Regions from separate parts of the Mus musculus genome. Here region 2 is reported to be linked to region 1. The links are microRNA targets in miRTarBase. Many come from high-throughput screens and were not tested one by one. Region 1 holds a microRNA gene; the other region holds the end of a gene's coding sequence.
Evidence for each region. The annotated mature microRNA mmu-miR-26a-5p reads UUCAAGUAAUCCAGGAUAGGCU and lies in region 1 at 2,013-2,034, shown strand. An mRNA with a match to its seed (bases 2 to 7 or 8) in the 3' UTR can be bound and repressed. Matches are read on the target gene's strand: a 7mer-m8 pairs with bases 2 to 8, a 7mer-A1 pairs with bases 2 to 7 and ends in A, and an 8mer does both.

Region 1 (7,119 bases):
TTTCCAGTGGTAGTGACAACTGGCCAGCAGGCATTCATCTCTGCCCCCTGGTGGCCATCAGTGGTCCGTCCCCGTCCCCCCGTCCCCCATCCTGTCTGGGCTCCAGGCTGGAGTCTGAGCAGCCCCATTCTCTTGCCAGACTATGCCACCCTTTGCAGTTGAGGCAGGCAGGTGTCCAAGAGATTGGGCTAGATGCTGGAACTCCAGGACACTCAGGACAGGAAGAAATACTCCTTCCTACATGTTTATTTCAAGGACCCAAGGCCTCTGCCAGCATCCTTGTGAACTATTTCCTGCCATCGTCAAAACATTGGTCCAGGCAAGCTTCTTTCTTGCTACAATTTCCAATTTTCTCTTTCCTTTCATATGTATTAATCACAATTTCTTTTCTCTCTAGCCCATTAGTAATGCTGACTTCATTGTTCCTGTTGAAATCGACGGAACCATACACCAGGTAAGGAACCAGAGTTAGCCTGCAGTTCCAGAGAGCATTTTCTTGTAACCACACTCCCTGGGAACATCATTTTTTCAATTCTCACTTCAGTGGCCATTTTATTCTAACTTCAGGAAACAAACTTTGTATAATAAGTATAGTAAGCCAGGCATGGAGGCAGAGGCAGGCAGATCTCTTGAGTCTGAGGACAGCCTGGTCCACAAAGCGAGTCCTTGTACAGCCAGGGCTACACAGAGAAACCCTGTCTCAAAAGCTAAATAAAAATACTGTGAATGATTCTCTGCCTCATGCATGCATTTGCTTTTTACCGTGTTTATGAGGACCCTTTTCTGTTAATAAATATTAGGTATGATCTCTGATTTGATTTCAACTTTTAGGAGCCTTTGTGCAATCCCCTAGTTGTCCCCACCGCTGGCCGGGTTTGACATCTGGTCAACTTCATCATGCATTTGCTTTTGGCTTCTCCTAGCAACAGGAAAATGCCACCAGTCACCCACTGACGGAGCATTCTTGGGAAAAATGTCCACTTTGATGCCAACTGCTCCCGTGAGAGCTTCTCTGCCCATGTGGTTTTCTCCAGTGTCTTTTTTAGCAAATACTCAACCCAGAGCAAAGGGGAAGGGTGTGTTAAGACCAGCAGGGTGCTGTGCATAAATTGTCATCGTCAGCTGGCATCAATCTTCTTCCGGTTTTTGGGGTTTTCTGTTTTGGGGTTGTTTGTTTGTTTGTTTGTTTGGGGGAGTTGCTTCTTCTTTATTTTTTCTTCGTCATCAGCAAGCTCTTCTGGAAATGACTTCGTCTATGAATACATTAGAAACATGGTAGAAAAGCTCGCCTTGGAGGTTAAGGTAGATATAGTTTTGCCACATGTTTCTTAGGAGTGATGGGACAGACTGTCTCCCCCATCAAACTCAAGGCCTTAAGGGGAGAGTATCTGGCCTCATATCCCAGGAAGGGACAGACATTTCCTGGTTCCTGGGCCACACAGGATGTCATTTCTTAACGATGCCAATAAGGCTCCTTAACTCTTGAGTGCAGTTTAGAACAATCCAGGGCTGTGAAATCAGCTGTTTTAGCCATTCCGTTGCCCAGACAGAAGGTTATATATGACAATCATCAGGATAAGATTTCCTGACTCCTAAGCCAGGGCTCTTTCCTTAGACTTGGTTCCCCCTGTCTCCCTTACCCCCACCTAGCTCTCTATCCTGTCCTACAGGACATAGGACCTGGGAAGGTTTCAGGCACCTGGTCACTTACCATTCACAAAGCACCAACTGAATTAACTCCACCCCCGCCATGCAGTTAGGACCTCTGCGCTGGTTGTTGTGTCTAAAGTCGAAGAGTCCTTGAGGTGAGGCTCAGGAGGACTGCCCAAGAAAATAATTCTTCACACCACGTGGCCACAAGCACGTCCGGAGTGCAGGACCCACCCCGGCTTCCCTTGCCCCTTCTCTTTGGCAGTAGACACCCCGGGCATCAGGGCTGGGAGCAGAAACTCCAGAGAGAAGGAAGGTACAAAAGCTGGAGGACCGAGGCCCTGGCGAAGGCCGTGGCCTCGTTCAAGTAATCCAGGATAGGCTGTGCAGGTCCCAAGGGGCCTATTCTTGGTTACTTGCACGGGGACGCGGGCCTGGACGCCGGCATCTGGGCCCAGGAACCTCCTTTCTGCTAAAGGCGGCAACAACAGAGTTTCCCCCGTCCATCTCCAACCCTTTGCCTGTAGCCAAGCTTGCTGGCCAAGCAGTCCTCCCGGAGACTCAGGACCGGAGGCCACACCCAGTCACTGGCACCAGCAACAACGAGTGTTATGAGCAAAGCAGGTCCTGCAGCTGCTACAGCCACACAGCTCTGCCCTCAGCCTAGCCCAACACCCCAGCTCAGCAGGATCCTGGTGGCACCCAGGATAGACCACCTATATTCCTCTGGCCCCTCTCTCCACCCTCAGCTGCAGAGCCAGACCCCCAACCCACTCCTAAAGCTAGCCAGCCGCTTTCTCTCCAGGTCTTTGCCCTAGGAAGCGCCTTTTCCTGGCATGCTGCAAAGCAGTGTTTCCATCTAGGAAGTCTGTCCTGCAGTGTGTTTTCCTTGCATGGGGTGCAGTCTTGTGTCTCCTCTCCCTTTCCGCAGCCCCCTCCCCTGCTCTGTCTGCCCTTAGAGGCCCTGTGGCTTACTGCTACCTTTAGCTCTTTACCTTAACTGCTTCCTCCCTGAGCAGCCTCCAGGGCTTCTCTCACTGCCTATGGTTGGCTGTGGACACAGGCTTTGGCCCAACACAAACCCAAGTGTTGTGACGCTTCCGATCCTCACGTTCACACTTTGCTCGGGTTGGAGGCTCAGCTCTCTCTCTCTCTCAGCGTGTGAGCTCCTCTTTATTCAAGGTCAAGGCCAGATGTTGCTTTCTGAGACGCCCTCTGGAAGGGAGAATTATCTTGAATGAATACCCCACTGTGAGATTTCTTGTGTTCACTAATTTCTGTCAGTGTGTGCTCAAGACTGAGTGAGCTGAGCCGGCAAGGCCCACCACACGAGTCTCCAGAGGATTGGGGGCTCCAATTCAGCCTTGTAGCTGAACTGAGCACAGCGCTGAGACCTGGTAATTATGTTTTATTTTAAAGATGTAGCTAACTTCTAGTGGAATTTACTCAAGTTTTAATTGGTCCCTCCCTCTGCCCACTGCCTCTCCCTGGCTTTGCTTTCTCTCTTCCAGTTCCTACACATTCCTTTAGCCTCCAGAGACTGCAGCCTGGGTGTTAGGTGAAACCAGCTGCTTCGCAGGCCTGTCTGGTCTGATCAGAAGGATACACAGAGCCCAACTGTGGGAAGCAGCCCCTTACCCATGTGAAGTGCTTTCTGTACCCCTACACAAGCAGGGTGACCTCCATGGTGTCCACTAGAAAGTTTTCAAGTGCATTAACCCCAGGGGGCAGGGATGTTCAGAGTTGGAGGCCGCAGCTAGTCCTAGACTTCCAGAAGGACAGCACCTAGGCTGTGGCCTGTGGCCACATAGGGGCTGACTCAGCAAGTGCCAAGTGGATGCATGAGCAACTGCGACTGGACATGGCACAGCTGTGCTCTGCTTACTGGCTCCGAAGATACTCAAGAACCTTGACGACGTGGTCGGCTTTCCTTTCTCTCTACAAGGGTTGAGACGCAGAACCTAGTGCAAGCTTCAGTAAATCGTACATAGGCCTGGCAACAGGAGAAGGGCCCCTTGGCAGTTCTTCCAAGGCCCACGCTGTCCCTGGATGCTATGACTGACAGCTCTTGTCTCCTCCCACCGCAGGTGTATGTGCTGAAGCGACCTCACGTGGACGAGTTCCTCCAGAGGATGGGGCAGCTCTTTGAGTGTGTGCTCTTTACTGCCAGCTTGGCCAAGGTGCGTCCTTTTCGTCCTGCATCCTGTGTCCTGCATCCTGCGTCCTGTTCCCAGCCGTCATCCCAACCTCTCCACCCTCCACCACACCCCCCAAGCTGCCAAGAGCCCTTTGTTAAGGTGGAGGAAGCTATTTTTACGGTGACAGGTTCCCACCCCAGATGCGATAGATGCAGGCCATGTGCACACTGCTAGGCTGAGAGGTTTCTGGTTACCATGGTGACTGGGAGCATTTGGAACAAATGCTCCATGAAGTTGCTTTATGCAGCCACCTGAAACCAGTTATCCACAGACAAAACCACAAGACCCGTCCATTGTGACTGTGGATGGATGCAGGTGTGGGGGAGTCTCCCTCACGCATTGAAGAGCAGCCAGATTTTAGAGTCCCTGTGTCCCCGTGTTTGATGGCCACAGGTTTCAGGGAGGAACAAGTTAAGAGGCAGGTGTCAAGTGTCACTGGCAGGCACAGAATGTTGGGAGTTCTGATAGCCTTGGGAGCTGAATGGTTTCTGGTAAATTCCTTTACCTCTGGCACATTGGTTTCTTCTTGTCTAATTGGGGATAATTCCATCTGCCTGTTAGAGTTCATTAAATGAAATGGCCCATGTGAACGGCTCAGCACAGCCCCAGATTCCCATCAAGCAGACGTTCATTGAGCCCTCACTGTTCTCTGGGCACTGCCATGGACACTGTCGCAGGGTAAACACTCCTGATGTTCAGTATTTACCATCATAAGCACCAATAGCATCCAGACAGGCTTCACAGGTGAGTTGAAAGCAGGCGGAGTAGACCCTAGCTCGCTCTCCCAAATCCTTTCTGTGCCGACCGTGACTCTCGCAGAGTCAGTCAATCCACTTAGCAGAGGCACCTGGGTCTTCATGGGTACCTGGAAAACTCTGAGTGGCCCCAGAGATGAGATCTGTGGTGTGCAGAATTCCGGGAGCCACTAGCAGCTCCCTCCCCCACGGCCTGCCTGGGATAGCACCCATCCTCATCTGCCTGTTGGATCTTCGACCCCAGGTCTTCAGCCCCACTCTGCTGGCTGGGGCATTCCTGGCTGGGTCTATACTCTATGCTGACCAAGGCAAGAGCCACACATTCTGCTCCACCAGCGTCGTCAGCCAGCCTCAATGGGAGCTGCTAACGAGTGATCCCGAGCCTGGGTTTTGATCTCATGTACACAAAGCAGAACACGGCCTCAAGGAAAACATAGTCGTCCCCAGTGGTGTCAAGACTAATTGCGTGAGCAGCTTCAGTGGTGCTCGTGACGCCGCTCCGGGATGCTGAGGAACCTGAAGTAATAAGCAGCCAAATAGCGAGCGAGCGGGAAGATTGCACCCGAGCGCCGGACTGAGGCTTGGTTTTTGTGGTTTTTTTTTTTTTTTTTTTTTTTCCTTAGCAAGATTGAAAACTCTTCCTAGGCAGGGTCCCCAGTGTTCACTTAAACATCCTTGTCTGGGCCGCTCTTCCTGGGCTGTTCCCACCTGCCCCACCATCTGTTTCTCTAGCCCTGCTTCAGAGTTATTCTTGCCTGCAGAGCCAAACCCAGTTCCCAGCTCGGCCTCAGCCTTCCAGCCCCAATGGTCAGGTTGGACTGGTGGTCGGGGTTCCAGCTCTGGCTAATGAGTTTAGCTCAGCACTCAGCCAGCAGCTTTTGTATACTGCCTCCCCGCCTCCTGCTGGGGCCTGCAGGGACAGCGCTCCGACTCTCAGACTGCTATGGTCTGCTGGTTTGTCATGCATCCTTTGGTTCATTCGCCCCTCTTGCTTAGTAGGGCACCAAGGAGAAAGGATGAACCCCCGTGTCCGGTGCCTGTAGTCTTCATCCCGGTCTTGCAAGCCAGGAGCCCCTAGACACTAACCTAAAAGATGATCGCCAGGACTGGAGAGATGGCCCAGCACTGGCCACCTTTGCAGAGGATCCAGGTTCAATCCCCAGCACACACATGGCAGCTCACAACTGTCTGTAACTCCAGTTCCAGGCATTGGATCCAATGCCCTTGCCTGGCCTCTGTACACACTGTATGCATACATGACGCCCACACATACATACATGCAAGCAAAGTACACATGCACATAGGTTTTTTTTTAATCGTATAAAAAGTATAAAAACCAAAGGCTGATTGCCACACTGACGGTCGCAGAGGAGAAAAGGAACCCTCTTTTTCCATCCGCGTCAACCTTCTGTAGACGGCTCACATGCCCCTTCGCCCATCCCTCAGAGAGTGCTCTAAGCTGTCTGGTCAGCAAGAGATGAAGCTGCTCCCCTTGGGATTCCTTAGAGCCAGAAGGACTTTCCCAGGACCCAGCCACAGTGCATTCTACTGTGGCCTTCGTGACTCAGCCTCCGTGTCCGCTCCCTCCCTGAAGGGGTTGCCAGCCCTGGGGCTTCCTGGCTGTGTGCCTCGCTCTGACCTCACTGCTGAGTTCAAACCTCAAGTGAAGCCTGCAGGAGGAAGTGGGGATGGGATGAGATGTGCTGTGTGCCTCCGTGTGTTTACTCCTAAGGCAGTGGGCAAACCGTGGGAGTTCTAAGTAGGCCTGGGGTAGGATGTTCTATGTCCTCCAGTGGATACGCTGACAGCTGTGAGGTAAATGGGCAAGGACAGGAGGCCCAGCAGGAAACAGGAGCCTCCCAAGTCAGGAGGCCTGGTCCTGGAAGATGCATTAGAAATAAAGGTGGGAGTCGAGATATTTTTGGAGAGGAAACTGATAAGAACTTTCTGATGGATCCTGTGGGAGAGAACTGTAAGAATGCAGTGCTTTCTGACACAGGTAGAGAGGGAATACCACAATCATAAAACGCTTCCAGTTATTTCAGGGCCTTTTTAAAAAGTGGTCCAAGAGGCTGACGAGATGATGAGGCGGCTCAAGGCACCTGCCACACAAGCCTGGCCGTCTGAGGTCAGTCCCTGGAACCTGCCTAAAGGTGGGAGGGAAAAGCAATTCCCTGAAGTTGCCCTCTGACCCACGGGTGCACATCATGGTGCACCTGTGAGCGTGCACGTACGCGACAATGGGAATTTTTAAGTGAAAGGCGAGTATGTCTGAGAAGAAGGTTTAGTTGGTATAAATATTGCTAAGCATCAGCAGGGAAGCAGAAAGCCCGTGTGCCCCTGCCGTCCAGCACTGGGGCAGCAGAGGTAGCGGGGACCCTGGGGCTTGCTGGACAGCCAATTTACCTGAATCATGAGCTGTGGGTGTAAGGAGAGACCCTGCCTCAAAAAATAAGGCTGAGAACAATAGAGAAAGACATCCGATGCTGACCTCTGACCTCCCCACGCATGCACAC
Region 2 (7,114 bases), not on the chromosome of region 1:
GGGTTACCTCACTCAGGACAGTCTTTTATAGTTCCATCTATTTCTTTGAAAATTCCATGAAGTCATTGTTTTTAACAGCTCAGTAACCCTCCATTGTGCAAATTTACCATATTTTCTTTATCCATTCTTTGGTTGAGGGACATCTAGGTTGTTTCCAGTTTCTGGTTATTATTAATAAAGCTTTAAGAACATAGTTCAGCAACTGTCCTTGTAGAAGAATTGAGCATCCTTTGGGTATACATCCAGGAGTCTGACCTGTCTTTCAAGATAAAAATATTTAGTTAGTTGATTCCTGATAGTGTCTAAAGTGTGCTAGGAGAAGCAGAAAGAAGTGGAAACAATAAAGAAATACAGACAAAAGGGAAGGGAAGAGGGAGGGAGGGAGTAAGAAGTAAAGGTCAAGAAGAGAAGTCCATAGAGAAGGAATTAGGGAGGCCAGGAGTGGTGACATATGCCTTTCATCCTAGCACTCTAGAGGCAGAAGCAGGTAGATCTCTGTGTATGAGATTAAGTCTGGTCTACCTAGCCACAGGGCAGCTAGGGCTACATAGTGAGACACTGTCAAATCAATCAATTAATAAATAAGTAGCAAAAAGTGGCAAAAGGAAGCCTGAAGTTATTGTTTTGCTGGTTTACATATTTGGTGTGGTTGGAGCCTAGTCCAAAGTGGGAAAGGATGAGATCAATTCCTACTGAGCTATCTGGGTTTGGATCACGCCCCTTGCTCCTTTACCGTGTGTTACTAGCATCACAACCCTTACAGTCAGGCCAACGACTGGTTTTAGAAAGGGAACACTCAGGAAGACTATGAGACTCAGCCAAAAACATACACAGCAAAGAAATGGAGAGGCAGAACACACCATGTCTCCTGTTTCTCCTGGCAGAACACATTACAAGAATCCAGAGGGCTTCTGATCTCATCTTGCACAAAGTTCCAGATGTAGCAATGTGATGAAGTTGGTGGAATAAATATGTAAGGAAAGAGATTAGAAAGTGGAGTGTGGAGGCATAAGCTTGCAATCCCAGGATTTGGGAGATGGAGGCAGGAGGAACAAGAGCTTGAGTTGTCCTTGACTGCACAGTGAGTTTGAGACTATCCTGGGTTTTCACAAGACCATGGGAAGGGAGGAGAGGAGGGCAAGCAGCCAGACCTGGAAAGAACAAAGAAACGGAAAGGAATCTTATCACGGTGAGTGATGGGTGGGCATAGTTCTAGGAGAGGAGATTGGCAACTGTCAACAGGGAGAGTTAGAATTGAGGTAGCTGGAATAGGAGGCAACAGGGGTGAAGGCAGCAGGGATGTCAGCATAAAAGCCCTGTGTTCTTAGGAGTCTAAAGCAGCTGGCCAAGACTTCATGCTCAAATGATCTTATTTGGGAACCAAGCCAGGGGTTCAGGAAGTTTTGGCAAGCCCTGAAGCATGCATGCTTGGTGAGAGTATACTATTGGGGGTAGGGGACACCTGGCAGCCATTTTTCTTGTTAGTCTTTCCTATGCATAGACTTGGATAGGCCATGAGTAGCAGCAACAGGATCTTCCTGAAATGGCCATTTCCCAAGGTCTGCTGGCTCTGTCCCCGCTGTCGGGGCACCAGCCAGGATAATGTGAACCAAGAATGTGAACTATTCCCTTATGTTCTTTTAGAAGGGATCAACTTCCAGCATTCTGAGAAATCATTCTTAGCTGGGCATGGTGATAAACACCTACACGCTATTTCAAAGACAGAGGCAGGAGGACTCTATACAGAGATCCTGTCAGAAAGAAGGAGGGGAAAGGAGGGGAGAGAAGAGGAGAAGGAAAGAGAAATCACTCCTAAAACAGGTGGACAGACTGAGAGGCAAGCACAGCACTGTTGATCCAGGAAAGGCATCTTGATATGTAAATCTCTGTGTTCTGGGTAATTCATTCCCATTTCTTTCAGCCTCACAGCTACGGGAAAGTCCACAATGCCCATGCATCTCATCAAAAACAGGTTCAGCTAGGGGTGGAAACACCTATAATCCCAGCACCACAGAAGCCAGAGACTGCTGAGTTTAAGGACAATCTGGGCTACGGTGTGTCAAATGAAGGGTAGAATATAAGAATGTGGCTCAGTTGATAGAGTGCCTACCTAATAAGTATGAAGCCCTACTTGATTCCTAGGATGGCAATAAAATGTAATAAAACCAACAAAGATAGTAAAATCTCTGGCTAGGATCTCAGCCTACTAATCATTCCTGGCAGCACACAAGCCTTTCTTGGTTCTGGACCATCGCTCAAGAGTCTCTCCAACTCCTTCACTCTCCTGTCTTGCTTGTAAAGATCAAGCAACCACCACTTTTGACACGCATATGGTGTTACTGAGTCCATAAAAAGCCTTCACAAGGTCTGGAGGGAAGCTGCAGTGGTTAAGAGCTCTGGCTGCTCTTCTACAAGATTTGGGTTTAGTACCCAGCACCCGCATGGTGGTTCTCTAATGCTAGCTTTGGGAGATCCGATGCCTTCTTCTGGCTTTTTCAGGGACCAAGTACCCAAGTGGTAAACAAACATACATGCTGGCAAAACACCTATGTATAGAAAAATAAATTTTAAAAATTTAAGAACTTTTTAGAATACCTTCAAACTTCGCCTGTTAGAGCTTTCAAGCAACCTGTGTGACAGGTGGCTGGTCTTAGTCCTGTGGTTGATAATTTAACCCACACTTTAACCAATCTTGTTTTTTGAGATTGGTTTCGATTATGTAGCTCAGGCAAACTAAACTCACAGTATTTCTCCTGCCTCAGCCTTCCAAAGATTAGAATAACAGACATGTGTCACTACACCCAGATGAATTTTCTAATCCAAACAGCTCCTTTTGACTACATCAACAGGAGGCCTCATTTGTGAACACCATAACCATGAAGCAGGAAAAAACTGATAGAAAAAGGCTAGAAAAACATAATTCCAGGCACAAAACTAACATAAATGGAGGTTTCCATGACAGCTACTTTTAAATTTTGACAAGTTTCATAATGAATTTTCAAGATACTCAAAGGCTGTGTATAAAACACCATTTTAATAACCAAATATAGTTTTTAGCTCCTTGACTAGGAATTTGCACCCCAGTTTTAGCAAATGTTTGCATCTCAGTCATTTGAGAATTAGAGGTGTGTACCTCGGCTGAACTCATGGCAAACTCCCTTGTCCATGGCCTTCCAAGTGCTTCTTCCTGCTTCCGTCCAGCTGTGTTCTCTGGGACATACACACTTTGGTCCATAAAAGGACAAGTTAATTTGTTCAGTAAGCTCAGAGTGGACACTAATGTGCAGAGTACTGAGCAAGGGAATGGAAGACATACAAACAAGTAATATAAGCCAGGTGTGATACCCATGTCTGTAATCCTAGCACTTAGGAATAGTCCAAGGCCATTCTGGGCTATGTTAGTCCTTGTCTAATAGAGGAGGGAAGAGAAAACAGCCAGACAAACAAGTTGTTATTTGAACTGAGGAATGGGAAGACTCCAGAATTTCCACCTAAATGGTATCTTAAAGATTATTAAAGGAGTTTAAGAGTAGAGGTTTGTTTTTACTTCTTGGTGCTTGGGGAATCAAACTTAGGGCCCTAGTGCATGCTAGACAAGCACTGTACCTCTGAGAAGCCTCACCTCCAGAAACCTTGGAAAAAGGTGAAGGCAACGAGAAGGACTTAAAGCTTGAGGGGTGGATAATGATCCAGAGCTGTGCGCCTGTCAACACTGGACTTAGGAACAGCAGTAGGCTTGAGGCAGAAGTTATCTTTGAAGTTATCTGTACGACCCAAGCAAGGTGGCACATGCCTATAGTCACAACACCTGAGAGGCAGAGGCAGGCGGACCTCTGAGTTCCAGGTCAGCCAGGGCTACGAAGAAAACATCTTGAGGGCTGGAGAGATGGCTCAGTGGTTAAGAGCACTGACTGCTTTTTCAGAGGTCCTGAGTTCAATTCCCAGCAACCACATGGTGGCTCACAACCATCTGTAATGGGATCTGATGCCCTCTTCTGGTGTGCCTGAAGACAGCTACAGTGTGCTCATATATATATAATAAAGAAAAAAAGAAACCACCTTGAACCACCGCCCCCTCCCCCACATACAAAAGATCCATCTGGAGAAGGCTCTGCAGACCATACACCCAACACATTTCCAGAACAAAAGAATTACAACTGTAGAGGTCAGATCTCTGCAGACACAGATATATCATCCAGGCCTAACGAAGTCCAAGTGCAAATGGACAGCCCTACTTACTGTGACACTTCTAGGTGTAGCTGTTAACTTTATCTCAGTTGTGACTATCTCACACAATTAGGTGTTGTGTTCACTGCACAATCCCCAAGACTGCAATCTCCTTGCCAGTCTGAGGCATTTGTGGAAGTGGAGGAAGCTTCAAGTGGGGCTGATGGAGGCTCTATCGCTGGTGGTCTGCAGTAGGATCGTGTCTTTTTTTCATTTTCTGGCTTCCACAGGGTGAGCAGTTTCTTTTGCACATGCCCCTAATAAGCAGGCCAACGAACCATGGACAGAAAGCCGACAAAGAACCCCAATCCCTTTTTTCTTTCTTTGCCTCGTGTTACCTGTCAGTTAGTGGGAACTAATATAGTCCCTACAAGCAGATTTTTTTTTTTTTTTTTGGGTTTTTCAAGACAGGGTTTCTCTGTGTAGTCCTGGCTGTCCTGGAACTCACTCTGTAGATCAGGCTGGCCTCGAAGTCAGAAATCTGCACGCCTCTGCCTCCCGGGTGCTGGGATTAAAGGAGTATGCCGCCACCACCACCCGGCTACAAGCAGATTCTTAAAAATCATTTTGGATATTACTATACAGTTTTAGACACAGAAAGGATTAACTTTTTAATCACTGTAATAGGCAGGCAAAGGCAGGAGTTTGTGAGTTTGAGTTCAGTAGTCTCCTCTACATAGTGGGTTCCAGGACAGCCAGAGCTAAATTGCCTTATTTTCTGTGTATGAGTGTTCTGCCTGCAAGTTTGTCTTCATACTTCATGCCCATTAAGTATCTCCAGAGGCAGGAAGAGGGCATAAAATACCCTGGGACAGTAGTTAGAAATGGTTTTGAGCCACCACGTGGGTGCTGAGAACCCAACCTGGGTCCTCTGTAAGAGCAGCCAGTGCTCTTAACTCCTGAAGCACACCTCCGGTGCCCCTCACCCCGGGTAGTTCTTACCTAAAAGCTAGAGGGCTGCAGCTGACTTAGATCCTCACCCCAGCTCTCTTCTCCACAGGCAGCTCCATACAACTCTGAAAAACAATCAAATCTCCAACACGAGGCACAGGACAGTCTTAACTTTATTTATTGAGGTTCTTTTTATTTAAAATGGTTTGCAGTAAACAGAACAGCCCATAGGGGAGCAACTTCCCAAATGTTGCTTGCCCATGACCCACAGACTGAAGTCTGCTTTCATGTACTGATTTATTCCATATTTCTTCTAGTACTGGTGGTGAAGAGGTGACGAATGGAAGGAGGGAGTACGGCCAAGAGAAGGCAAGGATAAGGCTCAGTCTGGAAAACCCAAACTCTAAAGGGCCTCAAGTTCAACCAGGTAAAGTGTGTCACAGCCATTGGTCACCCAGCTGCAGCTAGTCAAGCATAAATTAAATACAACAGCTTTGCCACCTCAGCAGATGGTAACAGAACTCTAGGCCAAAATCTGAGCCTAGTGTGCACTAGGTGCCAACATCACAGATGCCACAATCGATGGAGAGTCTGGACAGCTCCCTTCACGCTGCTCAATGGGAGACCTAGGTTTTACCCCTCAGAGCAGTTTATCAAGCAGGCTTCATTTCCGTTTCTTCTCCTGTGTGCTGGTGAACCAAGAGTCTAAGAGTTTTTTGCTGTAGTACAGTTGCCAGGCATGAACTTGGACTGCCAGTACCAACACCAGGTACATGACAGAGACAGCAGAAAAACCAAACAGGAAGCGATAGGCCTTGCCATGGCGGTAGAGTTGCTGTGCCGCAGGGAACATCTCCATGCTGCCATAAATGAGGGGAGCGATGGAGAAGAGCCCCATGCTGATCATGGAGAGCACCAGGTAGCTAATGTTGTTCCGAGGGAAGGAGAGCAGGCCCAAGACAGAGGGCACAATGCTCAACAAATACGGATATTCCCACTGATAGGGCATGGCCACCTGATCATGTGACAAGAGCCTCAGGTGTCCCACGCTCATCTTGGCCACCAACAGCAGCCATATGACGAGATGCACGTAGATCAGCTTCTTGATTTCGTACTTGAGGGTCACACTGTAAGACAGAGCAAAGGGAGAAGCAACTTTCATTCCAAGTGCTCTGACCACCAACCGTATTCCAGGCATGTGTACAGGACACATGGATACAGTGTGAGTGATACAGCCTCAAACAGAGGCTGGGTCCAAGGGATAGAGAAGAAAGTAATTAGAAAATGAAGTGTAAAGCTCAGGTAAACACACAGAGCCTAAGCTATCCTGGGAGTAATCACTGTAGCATAAGGTGGAGGCCAGGGAGGGAAGGCTGTCTGTGTACAGGAGAAAGCATTTCGGCCTGGGTTCTAGACGAGTGGAGAGAGCATTCTATGCAGAGGCAAAAACATGCAGGCACAAAACACAGGGGTTTATGTATCTGTGTTTCAAGAAATCAAGTGGCAAGACACAGGAGAGGCAGTGACAGATAACTGCAAAGACAAGGCGAGGACACTTCAGACTGAAGAGCAGCAGCGGCCCCTGGTAGGCTGAGACAGAAGATTCCAAATTGGAGGTTGGCCTGGACCACATAGCAAGACACCATCTCACAAAGCCATGACAAGAATTCTGGGCTGTGGTTTAAATGATAGCTCTGCATCACAGAAACAAAGGCCAGGAGGCCTTGTAGCAACAAGGAACACAGCTCCTATTTCTCCAGCTACAGCTGTCACGTGAAGGAAGCATGTCTCTCTTAATCTAAATTCCCTAGGTCTCAAGCGTATCCTTTTCAATCTCAAGAGCAAGGTTTCACCTCTAGGTGTGCAAGACAAGACCTTGGGTTACAAGGTCTCCAGTAGGAAGGGGCCAAGGGTCCAGAGAGCTTGTCATCCTCTTGCACAGAGGTAAAGCACCAGCTGAAAAACTCAGTGGACTTAAGGAGGCAGTAATTCACCT

Region 2: the mRNA of Jagn1 is a reported target of mmu-miR-26a-5p. The part of its 3' UTR that is shown has no 7-base or 8-base seed match.

Annotation. Positions count from the first base shown.
Region 1 is chr9:119,029,799-119,036,917 of GRCm38, forward strand. It overlaps Mir26a-1 (microRNA 26a-1), which reads left to right and starts at 1,998; the gene lies at 1,998-2,087. Ctdspl (CTD (carboxy-terminal domain, RNA polymerase II, polypeptide A) small phosphatase-like) reads left to right here. Exons shown (of 8, transcript NM_133710.3): 5 at 398-454; 6 at 3,738-3,830.
Region 2 is chr6:113,446,389-113,453,502 of GRCm38, reverse strand. Jagn1 (jagunal homolog 1) reads right to left here. Exons shown (of 2, transcript NM_026365.3): 2 at 5,274-6,245. The coding sequence ends at 5,783. Among named protein-coding and RNA genes, the nearest start is that of Jagn1, 7.4 kb to the right of the region's middle.